3 linked regions of the Elephas maximus indicus genome follow. The protein of the gene in region 2 purifies or fractionates together with the protein of the main gene of each other region. This does not show direct contact. Links are inferred from orthologs where the notes say so. Each region holds a gene or a part of one and is shown on either strand. Other genes may lie near its edges.

The links.
Region 1: the proteins of SRC (region 2) and CBLL1 purify together in Homo sapiens (affinity purification with western blotting; 3 studies listed by BioGRID and IntAct, with this or other methods). This does not show direct contact. The link is inferred for Elephas maximus indicus from reciprocal best matches to the Homo sapiens genes SRC and CBLL1.
Region 3: the proteins of SRC (region 2) and PECAM1 purify together in Homo sapiens (affinity purification with western blotting; 3 studies listed by BioGRID and IntAct, with this or other methods). This does not show direct contact. The link is inferred for Elephas maximus indicus from reciprocal best matches to the Homo sapiens genes SRC and PECAM1.

The regions. Positions count from the first base shown.
Region 1 is NC_064826.1:41,895,385-41,899,130, forward strand, and holds the start of CBLL1 (E3 ubiquitin-protein ligase Hakai), read right to left. Parts: upstream 2,855-3,746; 5' UTR 2,545-2,854; coding exon 2,532-2,544; intron 2,522-2,531; exon of another isoform or gene 1,862-2,521; intron 1-1,861. UniProt on the Homo sapiens protein: E3 ubiquitin-protein ligase that mediates ubiquitination of several tyrosine-phosphorylated Src substrates, including CDH1, CTTN and DOK1. Targets CDH1 for endocytosis and degradation.
Region 2 is NC_064843.1:32,209,904-32,213,649, reverse strand, and holds the start of SRC (proto-oncogene tyrosine-protein kinase Src), read left to right. Parts: upstream 1-1,077; 5' UTR 1,078-1,452; intron 1,453-3,746. UniProt on the Homo sapiens protein: Non-receptor protein tyrosine kinase which is activated following engagement of many different classes of cellular receptors including immune response receptors, integrins and other adhesion receptors, receptor protein tyrosine kinases, G protein-coupled receptors as well as cytokine receptors.
Region 3 is NC_064837.1:55,646,896-55,650,641, forward strand, and holds the start of PECAM1 (platelet endothelial cell adhesion molecule), read right to left. Parts: upstream 2,544-3,746; 5' UTR 2,500-2,543; coding exon 2,457-2,499; intron 1-2,456. UniProt on the Homo sapiens protein: Cell adhesion molecule which is required for leukocyte transendothelial migration (TEM) under most inflammatory conditions.

The sequences.
Region 1 (3,746 bases), on a different chromosome or scaffold from region 2:
AGTTTATGCATTTCATAAAAGCCTGTATGTTTTGCAAGGTTTGTAATTTTTCCCAACAATTAAAGAACAGCATTTGATGTTGTCTCCTAATATGAAACATCAAGAAAACTGACTCACAAAGAAATTATCTAAAAGAATAGATGCTAGTATTAAGCAGAAGAAATACCTGAGTAGCAACTAATTGTTTAAGTAATCAGCTCATTAGGGAAGATTTCCATGCTAGATGACTTACTATGCTCAGATACACACCCATTCATATTACAATTTTCTAATATAGCATCCTCTGAATTGTGGAAGGGACTGGATTCCCAATTCCAAAGGTTCAAATGAGTAATATTTTGCTGATATTCAATGCTTGCTACTCTAACACCCAGATCCTTGAATTTCAACTCAGTGAACTGTTCAAAGACTGGAGTTCCTTAGAGCCTGGTTGTGGAACCCTCTCTCTTCTATATTAGCTCTCCTTTAGTGATCACATCCATCCCCATGCCTTAAAATATAAGGTATTGAGTCTCAAATATGTATTTTCAGCCCGTATCTTTCCGCTGGTCTCCGATTGCCTATGTGACATCTCCCCTTGTATGTTTCAATACACATCTCAAATTTTAGCAGTATGAAACCAAACTCTTGTTCCTAAATTTCCATTCCCCACCTCTATCCCTAAAAAACGTCTACTTTTCTCTCATGTTTTCCCCAACTCAATAATGGACACTACCATCTACCCAGCTGCTCAAACCAGAAACCTAGGCATTTCTCCTTTTTCTCATATACCTCCAAACCAATCTATGAGCATGTCATTGAGTTCCATCACCAAAATACTTATCGACTAGACCTACTTCCATTCATCCTCGCTAAGCCAAGCCATCATCTCTTTTGGTCTACTGTAATCTCCTAAATCGTTTTTTTACTACCCTTGCCTCCCACTGTTAACTCTTTCTTCCTAGAACAGCCTATTACATTTTTTAACAAGATCAGATTCCTCCTCTACCTGTTCAATAGCTTCAGAAACCCATTGCTGTCGAGTCAATTCCAACTCATAGCGACCCTACGGAAAGAAAAGAACTGCCCCATGGAGTTTCGAATGAGCTCCTGATGGATTTGAACTGCCGACCTTTTGGTTAGCAGCCTTAGCTCTTAACCACTACACCACTAGGGTTTCCAATAGCTTCACAGTGCACTTAAAATTCAAATCTTTATCATTGCCTTTAAGGTCCTACACCATCTGACTTCCTCTCCAACTTCATCTTAAGGCTCTTTAAATTTACCTCTTGTTAAGTAGGCTTCAGCCAATTGGCCTTCTCTAAGTTTTCCTAATCTCAGAGCCTTTGTACTTACTTGATGGAAATACTCTTCATTCTGCTTACTTCATGGTTGGATTCTTCTCATCTATCAAATCTCAACTTAAATATTACCTTTCCAACAAAGACCTTCCCTGACCGTCCTCTCTAAAGTTTCCTCCCATTTATCTCTAACACAGTACCTGTTTACTTTCTTCAAAATACCTTCATAATCTGTAAATATTTTAAGTTTTTTTTAGAAAGTCTGTTTACTATTTCCCCCAATAGAATGTAATCAAGGTGATGGCAGGAACTCAGCCTTGTTTTAACATTCCAACCCGAGGCTTAGAAATAAACACACACACACAACACACACAAATATTTCATGATTGAGAACACACATCCCAATTAATACCTAGACCGGAAAATGTATTTTTCCCTACCTGTGACACGATTAACATAACTGCATGGAGCGCTTCCTAACTTCGAGTGCGCTTTATTTTAACATTCACGAACCAATGGAAACAAAAGCCAAAAAAAAAAAAAAAACCCCACACATAAAAAAGTAATGGAGCCAGTCTTACTTGGAGAAAGAGATGAGAACTCCTTGATTTTAAGCTTTCCTTAGGAAATGGTCCGAAATGACGAATAAGGACCACAGCCAAAGCGTGGGGCATGCTTTAGGTTTAGAGGTAGAAGCTGCTCCGAGTATGATTACGAAAACTATATCCGACTCCTTTCTCCAACTCTAGCCCACGAAGGACGAGAGAGACAATAACGACAGGAGCACCCGCCCAAAGCCGACTGAGACGGCAGGAAGTCTCCAACCTACTCTCGCCCAACCACTCCCAGCCGAAGCGGAGAGCGCAGAGAGGCTTCCTCCACTTAAAAATTGGAATCTATCCGCCAGTCCGCAAACGCAGCTCAGAGCACCCGGGATGAGGGGAAAAAAAAAAACCAGCGCTCTCCCCTCCCCCCGAGGCCCGCGCAGCCCGCCGTCCCGAGTCGGAGCCCAGCAGTGCCAGAGGAAAAGCGGCTTTTGCCGGTACTGAGGCTGTAGCTACTGCACCGGAGAGTAGGCCGGGAAGCAGCAGGCCCCGGCCGGGCACGGAGAGAGATCTGTGATATTTCTTTCTCACCACCACACCCCAGTGCTTTGGGGCGAACGTAAGCCCTCTATGCCCGCTAGGCGACTGATCCCAGACCGGCCAAGGGGGCATGGAACCGGGACCCCCACTGCCTCCGCCTCCTTACCAGTGTGATCCATGATTCGGCTCGCAGGGCACAGTGGGAGCGGAAGTCAACTGCACCGGAGTCGCATGGGGCGCGTGCGCGCTATCCCCGGAGTCCGGAAGGCGGAAGTGCAACCAGTCTCCTAGCTTTGGCTTCCAAGGGCTATCTTTTGTCGCCTCCCCAGCATAGTTTGGGCAGAAGGGAGAACGAGCGAGTACGCGAAGAGCTTCAGTGTCGAAGTTGCTAAGGCAGTTCCTCATAGGCCTCAAGAGAAAGTAGCCTTTAACTGTGGAAAGGAGACCCATGGCAACACGGGAGGGGGAGAGCGGTACTAGCCGAAAGAATTCACGGCAGGTAAGGCGGCCTCCCGCCCCCTCGGAGCGTTGCCTTCTGGGACTTGTAGTGCGCAGGACCCCGGAGTCAGCCAGGCCTATTGCGCAGGCTTGGCCGTTGGGCTGGCCCCACCCCGGCGGCGGAGTAACGGTTTAGAAGCCCCGAGGGTCTGGGAACGTCAGTCTCCACCGGTTCTAGGAAAAGCGTAAACATCGGCGCTCCGGAAAGCGTCCTCCCGTGGGAGGTTGCCAGGGGATGGTTGACCTGTTAGAATCCTCTAGCTAGACGAAAAGACTCTGCTTCTTATTGTCGAAATTTTGCTTTGTCGTGGTGAGCTACATAGCCCCAAGTAGAACAGACTTGGTGTATGCCTACGTTCCCACCTCTTAAGTTTCTACCAGTTGAAACATACTTACATCATGCTTTGCTACCACTCATTTTCTGGAGAAAATGCGTGTGGCTCTAGGTTCCCCTACAACCTCTCCGCAGGACTGGCGGACGCCGCGCAGCTACATCTTATTACATGGGACACCTAGCACTAATGTGCAAAGAAGGGGGCCGCAGGAAGGGTACATAGAAATGGAGTGAGGTGAAGAGATCGTTAGGGCCTGGTCGGAAGGGAAAGGTGAAAAAAGAAAGGCCTAAAATGAGGAAGAGAGTTACCACAGTAGGCAGTACCTAGTTCCAGTTCTTGGTCCCAGGGGTTTGTGGTTGCTGCTGCTTTCATCTCCACAGCCAAGAGAAAAGGAAAGTGCCAAAAGGTGATGCCGTAGGACCTTCAGCGCAGTCTCCACCTGGTGGACTTTGCTCATTTGTGTCCACTCCCTTCTCCAAAGCTTTACATTTGATGCTCTCCGATGAGTAGAAGGGAGCACAATTAGTGGAAAACACAAGCTTGGGAGT
Region 2 (3,746 bases):
GACATAACGTAGTTCATCAAGAAAATGTTCTATAGCCCATTTTGGTGAGTAGCATCTGGGATCTTAAAAGCTTGCAAGTGGCCATCTGAGATACATCTATTGGTCCCATCCTGTGTGGAACAAAGGGGACTGAAGAAAACCAAAGATACAAGGAAAATACTAGCCCAAAGGATTAAAGGACCACAAGAACCAGACTCCACCAGCCTGAGCCCAGAAGAACTAGATGGTGGCTGGCTACCACCAGCAACCACTTTGACAGGGATCACGGAGGAAAATATAAAACAGAATTCAAATTCACCAAAAAAGACCAGACTTGCTGGTCTGACAGAGACTGGAGGAACCCCCGAGAATATGGCCCCAGACACTCCACTAACTCAGAACTCAAACCGCTCCCCGAGCACACTTTTCAGACAAAGATTAGACAGGCAGATAAATTAAAAAACAACACACTGTGAGGAACATGCTTCTTAGTTCAATCAAATATAGGAGACCAAATGGGCAACGCCTGCCCAAAAGCAGGACAAGAAGGTGGGAAGGGACAGGAGCTGGAAGAGCAGACACAGGGAAAACCGAGTGGAAAGGGGGAGCATGCCCTCACATTGTGGAGAATGCAACCAAAAAAGAAAAATAAATAAATAAAATGAACACGTATCTATTAAAATAAAAGTGGCTCTTCCGGCTTGCCCCACCTGCCCCAGCTCCCACTTTGGGAAACTGGGGTTAAGGCTGGGAACCAAGGACTGGTTCTTGTTAGGAGATCCTTGCCTTTTCAGCACCTCAGTTTCCTCATCTGTGCAACAGGGATAATCTCAGGACCACCCAGCCCAGGTTGTTTTCAGGATTAGATCCCAAAGTCGACCTCAGCCACTTAGTATGGCTCCTGGTAAGGAGTGAGCGCTCCATTAGGGTCGAGGTTATTATCATTATTAATAATTGCAGGAGAGGCAGATTTGGGGTAAACAGGGTTGGTGAGTGGCTTGGGGGAGTTAGGGAGGGTATTTTGGCCTGGGAGCAGATGGGATGGGGGCCTCGTGGGATGGGGCGCTTTCACGGGGCAGCGTGGGAGGCGGGGCCTCTGCTCCCCGTCCACGCCACCCCTGCCCTGCCCGGACCCCTGGCTTGGGCCGCGCACGGGTGTCTCCCAGGTCACCGGCAGGGAGTGTATCCCCGCGCGCTTCCTCCTTCCTCCTCCTCCCGGCGGCCTGCCGGGCCCCTCCTCCCCACTCGCGCGCTCCCTCCCTCCTCTTCCCCTCCCGGGGCCGCCGCCGCCTCCTCCTCCTCTTTCTCCTCCCTTTCTCTCTCGGTCTGTCTCTCCCGGCCCGGAATCCATTCCGGCCTGGGAGCCGGAGCGGCCAGGCCGCCGTCTGCCCGATACCCCTGCCGTCCGGCGGCCCGGGGGTCCGCCCTCCCGTGCGTCCGCCCGCCGGTGCGACCGTCTGCCGGCTGCCTCAGGTGAGAGCCCTCCGCCCCTCTGCGGGCCCCTAGTCCCGGCCGGCCTGAGAAAGCCCCCGCCTGGACCACCCCGGCGTCTGATCGCGGGGCCGCCGGGGCTCCTGCCCACCCCTGTCCCCCAGCCCCGGGCCGGGCCGCGATCCCGGAGCGCACGGAGGGCGCACCGGGACAAGCCCAGCGCGGCCTTTTGTTGTGATGCCGCGGAGGGAGGGGGCTGGGCGGGGGCGCTGGAGTCCTGGCCGTGCGGGGACCCCTCTCGTTGGCCCTTCCCCCGCGAACCCCCCGAGATGCAGGCGAGCCGGCCCGAGTCCCCAGGCCAGGTCTAGGCCAAATATGAAATCTGAGCCAGTCGGCGCCGCCTCTGGCCGCGACTACCCGGCCTGGCGCCCCTGGCCCGCGGTGGGGTGTGGGTGGGGGGGGGGGGCAGAAGGCCTGGAACGGGGGTTTGGGGGGCGCCAAGGAGGGAGCGCTAGGCCCAGGGCGCCAGGACCTCCTCGTCCTCGTGGGGCCTTAGGTCGGGCCTGGTGTCGCCGGCCTGGAATAAGGGGCTGGGCCAGGCTGGGCTTGGTCCCCGCTGCCCACAGCCCCCAGCGCTGCCCGCTCGGAAGTTGGCAAAAGTTTTGGGTGCCTACCTCCTGGCGGGTCCACCTGCCTGCCTGGGTGGGGGTGGGTTTGAGGCCAGGCTGGGGCTGCCACTCGCCCTGCTGTGTATCCTCAAGCAACTGCCTGTCCATTCTGAGCCCGGGACCTCATCAGTGGCAGATGGGCCTGAGTGGAATTGCTGGGCTGGTGGGAGAATGGATTGGAGTGAACAGAACTCAACTGTGGGGTATCAGTTCAGGGACTTGAGAGTGGGCACAGTGTGTGTGTGGCCCTGGGCAAGACTTCCTGGGCCTCAGGGATTCTGTCTATACAATAGGGGCAGTGGTCCCTGGGTCACCTGGGATGAGTCCAGGTCTAGCAACAATATAGCTGAGACCAGACCTGGCTTGAGGGTGGGCCTCGCTGGTCCTGTTGCTGACCCTCTTCTTGCCCCCTAGGGGGAGCACTGATTGGGAAGTCAGGACACCTGGGCTTCTTGTCTCCCTAAGTGACCTGGGCCAAGGGATTGCCCCTCTGAGTCACAGTATGAGGAATAGGGATGCTCAGGGGAAGATTCTATGCACCTCTGCCTGTAGGGGCTTGGCACGTAGTTGGTGCTCAATAAATGAGTGCTTTACAGAACGACTGCCTAAGAAATGAAGGTGGGAGGTAAGGTTGCTGGCCCAAGTGGGGCTCATCTCCTTGTGCCCAGAAGAGGGTGAATCTTCTGAAAAACCTACTCATAACCCCCTTGAGAAAGAAACAGCCCCAGCCCAGTCCTGCCACATAACAGCTGTGTGACCTTAAGCAACTCACGCTCCCTCTGGCCACAGTTTTGTCAACTTTAAAATGAGCCAATAATAATGGCAACTGAGTACCCTCTGTGAGCACTCACCCCTGTGAGGTAGAGTCTCTTTTTTTTCTCCAGTTTACTGATGGGGAAACAGACTCAGAGAGGGGAAATAATTGGCCAAGGCCATACGACTTGAAGCTGGAATTAGAACCCAGACCTCAGAGACCCAGTCTGGCTGCCGGGCACCCCTCCAGTGATGGGAGAGTGGAGGTTGCCCAGCATGGGGCCAGGCACAGAGCAGTGTTGGAAGACTATACTGATGAGTGATTGACTGGAAGCCACGAGGCCCTTTTGGGCCTGCATTGGTGATACTGTCTTTCCACCCAGAGAAATGATTTACAGTGTGTCACCTCTCTCAGCTGACTGCTTGCCTAGGTCCTCCTGTGTGAATCCTGGGCCTTTGCTCCTGAAGATGTCCCTGCCAGGAGTGCCATAAGCTGCTCATCTGCTCAGGCTCTTCAACGCTTAGCTTAAGGCCCACTTCTCCCAGCAAGGCCCCCTGGCTCTCTCCTCTTCCTCCTGGAGTAGGCATTATCCCCAGCACACAACCCAGAATCTTCTTTGGCTTGTTCCCTGATTGTGACCTGAGGGGGAGAGGGTCTGACTCCCACAAACCCCAGGGGTCAGGGTGGGGATAGCTCAGTGACCCACTGAGCTCTGCCCAGGGTGAGCACATGTAGCTGCTGGGAAAACCCCCCATCTCTTGGTCCCGAACCATGTATCATGGATGCTTGTTTGTCTAACCTTTTCACAAGAGTTGACCCTGTTTTCTCAAGCTTGCCCAGATATAAGCACCATGACCCCATATTGAGCACCTACTATGTACGAGGAGCTTATAACTCAGTGGAGCAGTGCTGTG
Region 3 (3,746 bases), on a different chromosome or scaffold from region 2:
TAATAGTAATAATGTTTTTATACAATAATGTTTGACATAAATAGCAGCTAAAAAAAGTCAGGAACATCGGCCACAGTATGGTTCCTTGATTTTTGGTATGGTTTTTCAGCTCAATTTTAAAAGACAAAAAAATGAGCTGAAGTCTCCTATGTTCAAGCTTTTATATCACTATATCAGAATATAAACCCCTCTAACCAAGTTCTTTTTCAAGGTGAAATGGAGCCGAAAGTGCATCCTGATTCTTCCAGCAAGGACCCTTTCCTGGAGGGATGGGCTCTGGTTTCGGCTATGGCTCCTCCTCCTCCTTACTGCCGCTGCTGGGAGAGGACAGAGTTGGAGGAAGAGAATACACTCTTCCCGCCAGAGTTGGGACTAGACTCTAATACGTGTCCATCGTGGGGAACAAAAGGGAGAGACACGGAAGAGACAGACGGTGGAAACACGGCTTCAGGTGTGGTTTCCCCTTCTTGTACCTGACAGGGTACAGTTTTCCGTAAGGGAGGCCCTGAAAACCAGGCAGGGCAATATCCCTTGAGAAAAGTTCCAGCCAGAGTAAACACTGAAGGGCGACCACGAAGACAGACGCTAGTTGCCTTGAAGGTCTTCAATAATAGAGACCAAACAACAAAAAAAATGGATGAGAAAATGATATGGGGGCTAGAGAAGAAGAGAATGAGTGAGAGACAGAGAATGTGAAGAAAAGAACAGTATAGAACCAAGAACAAAAGAATACCGATTTATACAAGATCTGAGGAAAATTAACCAAATAGTAGAAGATGTACATCCAGTAGTCCCAAATCCCTACACCCTCCTTGTCACCATACCCAGCCAATATAAATGGTTTTCAGTGCTAGATCTAAAAGACACATTCTTTCACATCCCCTTACATCCTCAGTCTCAACAATTATTTGCTTTTGAATGGACTGATACAGCTACTGGGTGAAACAACATCTTACATGACAAGTTCTCATCCAGGGATTTAGAAATTCTCCCACTATATTTAGAAAAATTTTGACAAGGGATTTAAGATTTTTAAAACCAAATCAAGGTCTGATTTTATAATATGTTCACGAAATTTTGGTGGCTAGTGAAACTAAGGAAACCCTGGTGGCATAGCGGTTAAGTGCTACAGCTGCTAACCAAAGGGTCGGCAGTTCGAATCCGCCAGACGCTCCTTGGAAACTCTATGGGGCGGTTCTACTCTGTTCTCTAGGGTCGCTATGAGTTGGAAACGACTCCCCGGCACTGGGTTTGGTTTTTTGGTTTTAGTGAAACTAAAGAAGACTCTAACCAAAATGCTGTATTATTTTTAAATCACTTGGCAGAGTGCGAGTATTGGGTTATCCGAGAAAAAGGCACAGATTTCTCTCCCACAAGTTAAATATCTGAGATTCCAGATTTCTCAAGGACAGCAAGACCTTCTCCCAGATTGAAGTGAGGCAATCATGAGGGTGACAGCCCAAAGGCCACAGCTAAGAGGATTCCTAAGAATGGCTGGGTTTTGTCAAATCTGGATCCTCGGGTTTAGAGTCTTGGCAAAGACTTTTTATGAGGCCCTGAAAGGGGAAGAAAGAGAACCTTTAGTATGCACTAAAAGAATGCTAACAAGTCTTTAAAATATTAAATATAAGTTGATGACAGCACCAGCTTTGAGAATGCCTGATTTACAAAAGTCTTTTGAACTGTTTGCACATGCGAAAGAGATTGCTATGAGAGTTCTGACTCAGACTTTGGGCTCGGCCGGGCGCCCCCTGACATACTTCTCACCGTGGCTAGGGGATGGTGACCATGTTTGTGGGCAGCGGCTGCAACCTACGACTTACTCCAGGAAGCCGAAAAATTCACACTGGGCCAAAAAGTGACTGTAAATACCCCATATACAGTTCCTCCTCTCTTAAAACAAAAAGGTGGGTTCCGGCTTATGGCGGGCCGCCTGCCCAGCAGCGCGCCCCCTGCCCAGCAGCGCGCCCCGGAGGCTCCGAGAGCAGGGCGGGGGTGACAGAGCAGCAGCCCTCCGCGGGCCTCGTCTTCTTCTCCAGCGCTGGTGAGAAGCACCCCGGGAGGGAGCCGAAAAATGGCCCCCCGGAGGTGGACAGTGGGCGGCGACAGCGGCGGCCGGCTAGAGCGCCGAGGAGCTGCTGCTGCGCTATGGTGAGGTGCTGGCGCTGGGTGGCCACCTAAAAGAAGCCCTAGAGACATACTCCGCAGCGCTGTGCCATGGCCCCCGGACAGGCCCGAGCACCCCCGCATCTTGATAGATCTTTGCGGCAGGCAGCTCCAACCTGGGATTTGCGGTAACATGGTCGCCTGACTTCCCATCTAACCTCCTGTCCTGCCCTGGCCCAGGGACCTAGAAAGGGCGCCCCCCTCAGTGAAGGCCGGAAGGCTCTCAGCCTCCCCAGGGCTGGTTCCCCATGTGATCTGTAAACACAATGAGATGAAAATAATCCACATACCTGCAAGCCAGAGGCTGCTCTGATGGCAAAAGACAAACCCCATGTTGGGCAGCCAGTCTCCCGTGCGTTACACTTTAAGAAGTGAAACTAAACTCATCAGGCAAATACTTAGATTTTTAACTAAGCTAGCTGTGTACAAGCCAAGTAGTTCCACTTCAAGATATTTGTTGTTGTTATTTTAAATGGAAACCCTGGTGGTGTAGTGGTTAAATGCTACCGCTGCTAACCAAAGGGTCAGCAGTTCAAATCCGCCAGGCACTCCTTGGAAGCTCTATGGGGCAGTTCTACTCTGTCCTATAGGGTCGCTATGAGTTGCAATCGACTTGACGGCACTGGGTTTGGTTTTTTTTTTGGTTTTGTGTTTAAATACTACCAAGTTGGTTCCCACTCATAGCAACACTATGTACAACAGAACAAAACAGTGCCTGGTCCTGTGCCATCCTCACAATTGTTGCTATGTTTGAGCCCATTTTTGCAGCCACTGTGTCACTCCATCTTATTAAGGGTCCTCCTCTCTTTATCAAGCATGATGTTCTTCTCCAGGGACTGGTTCCTCCTGATAGTATGTCCAAAGCACATGAGAAGAAGTCTCGCCGTCCTTATTTCTAAGCAGCATTCTGGCTGTACGCCTTCCAAGTTTAAAACCCACCAACCCAGAGTATAGCCATCCCCAAATCTATGAGGAGAAAGCAGACCAGTGGTTGCCTGGAACTGTGGGAGGAGGTGAATGTAAGTGGGCAAGGGGGAACTTTTGGGGTGATGGAAATGTTCTAAAACTGGATTATGGTGATAGTTGCACAGCTCTATATATTTACCAAAAATCGGCTTCACAAATTTAGCAAATGAAAATACAGGACATCCAGTTAATTCTGAAAGTCCCATAAACAAGAAATTTTTTTAGGGTAAGTATCTCCCAAATATTGCATAAACCCAAAAAGCCAAACCCACTGCCGTCGAGTCAACTCTGACTCATAGCGGCTCTATAGGGCTGAGTAGAACTGCCCCATAGAGTTTCCAAGGAGGGCCTGGAGGATTTGAACTGCCAACCTCTTGGTTAGGAGCTGTAGCACTTAACCACTATGCCACCAGGGTTTCCAAATATTACACAGGACAGTCTTATACTAAAAACATATTTGCTGTTTATCTAAAATTCAAATTTAACTGGGAGTTCTGTATTTTATCTTGCAATTCTAATAAACACTTATAGTGGGTAAATTTGATGGTATGTAAATTATATTTAATAAACCTGTCAAGAAATCTAACACAGTACCTAGAATAATATATTGGTAC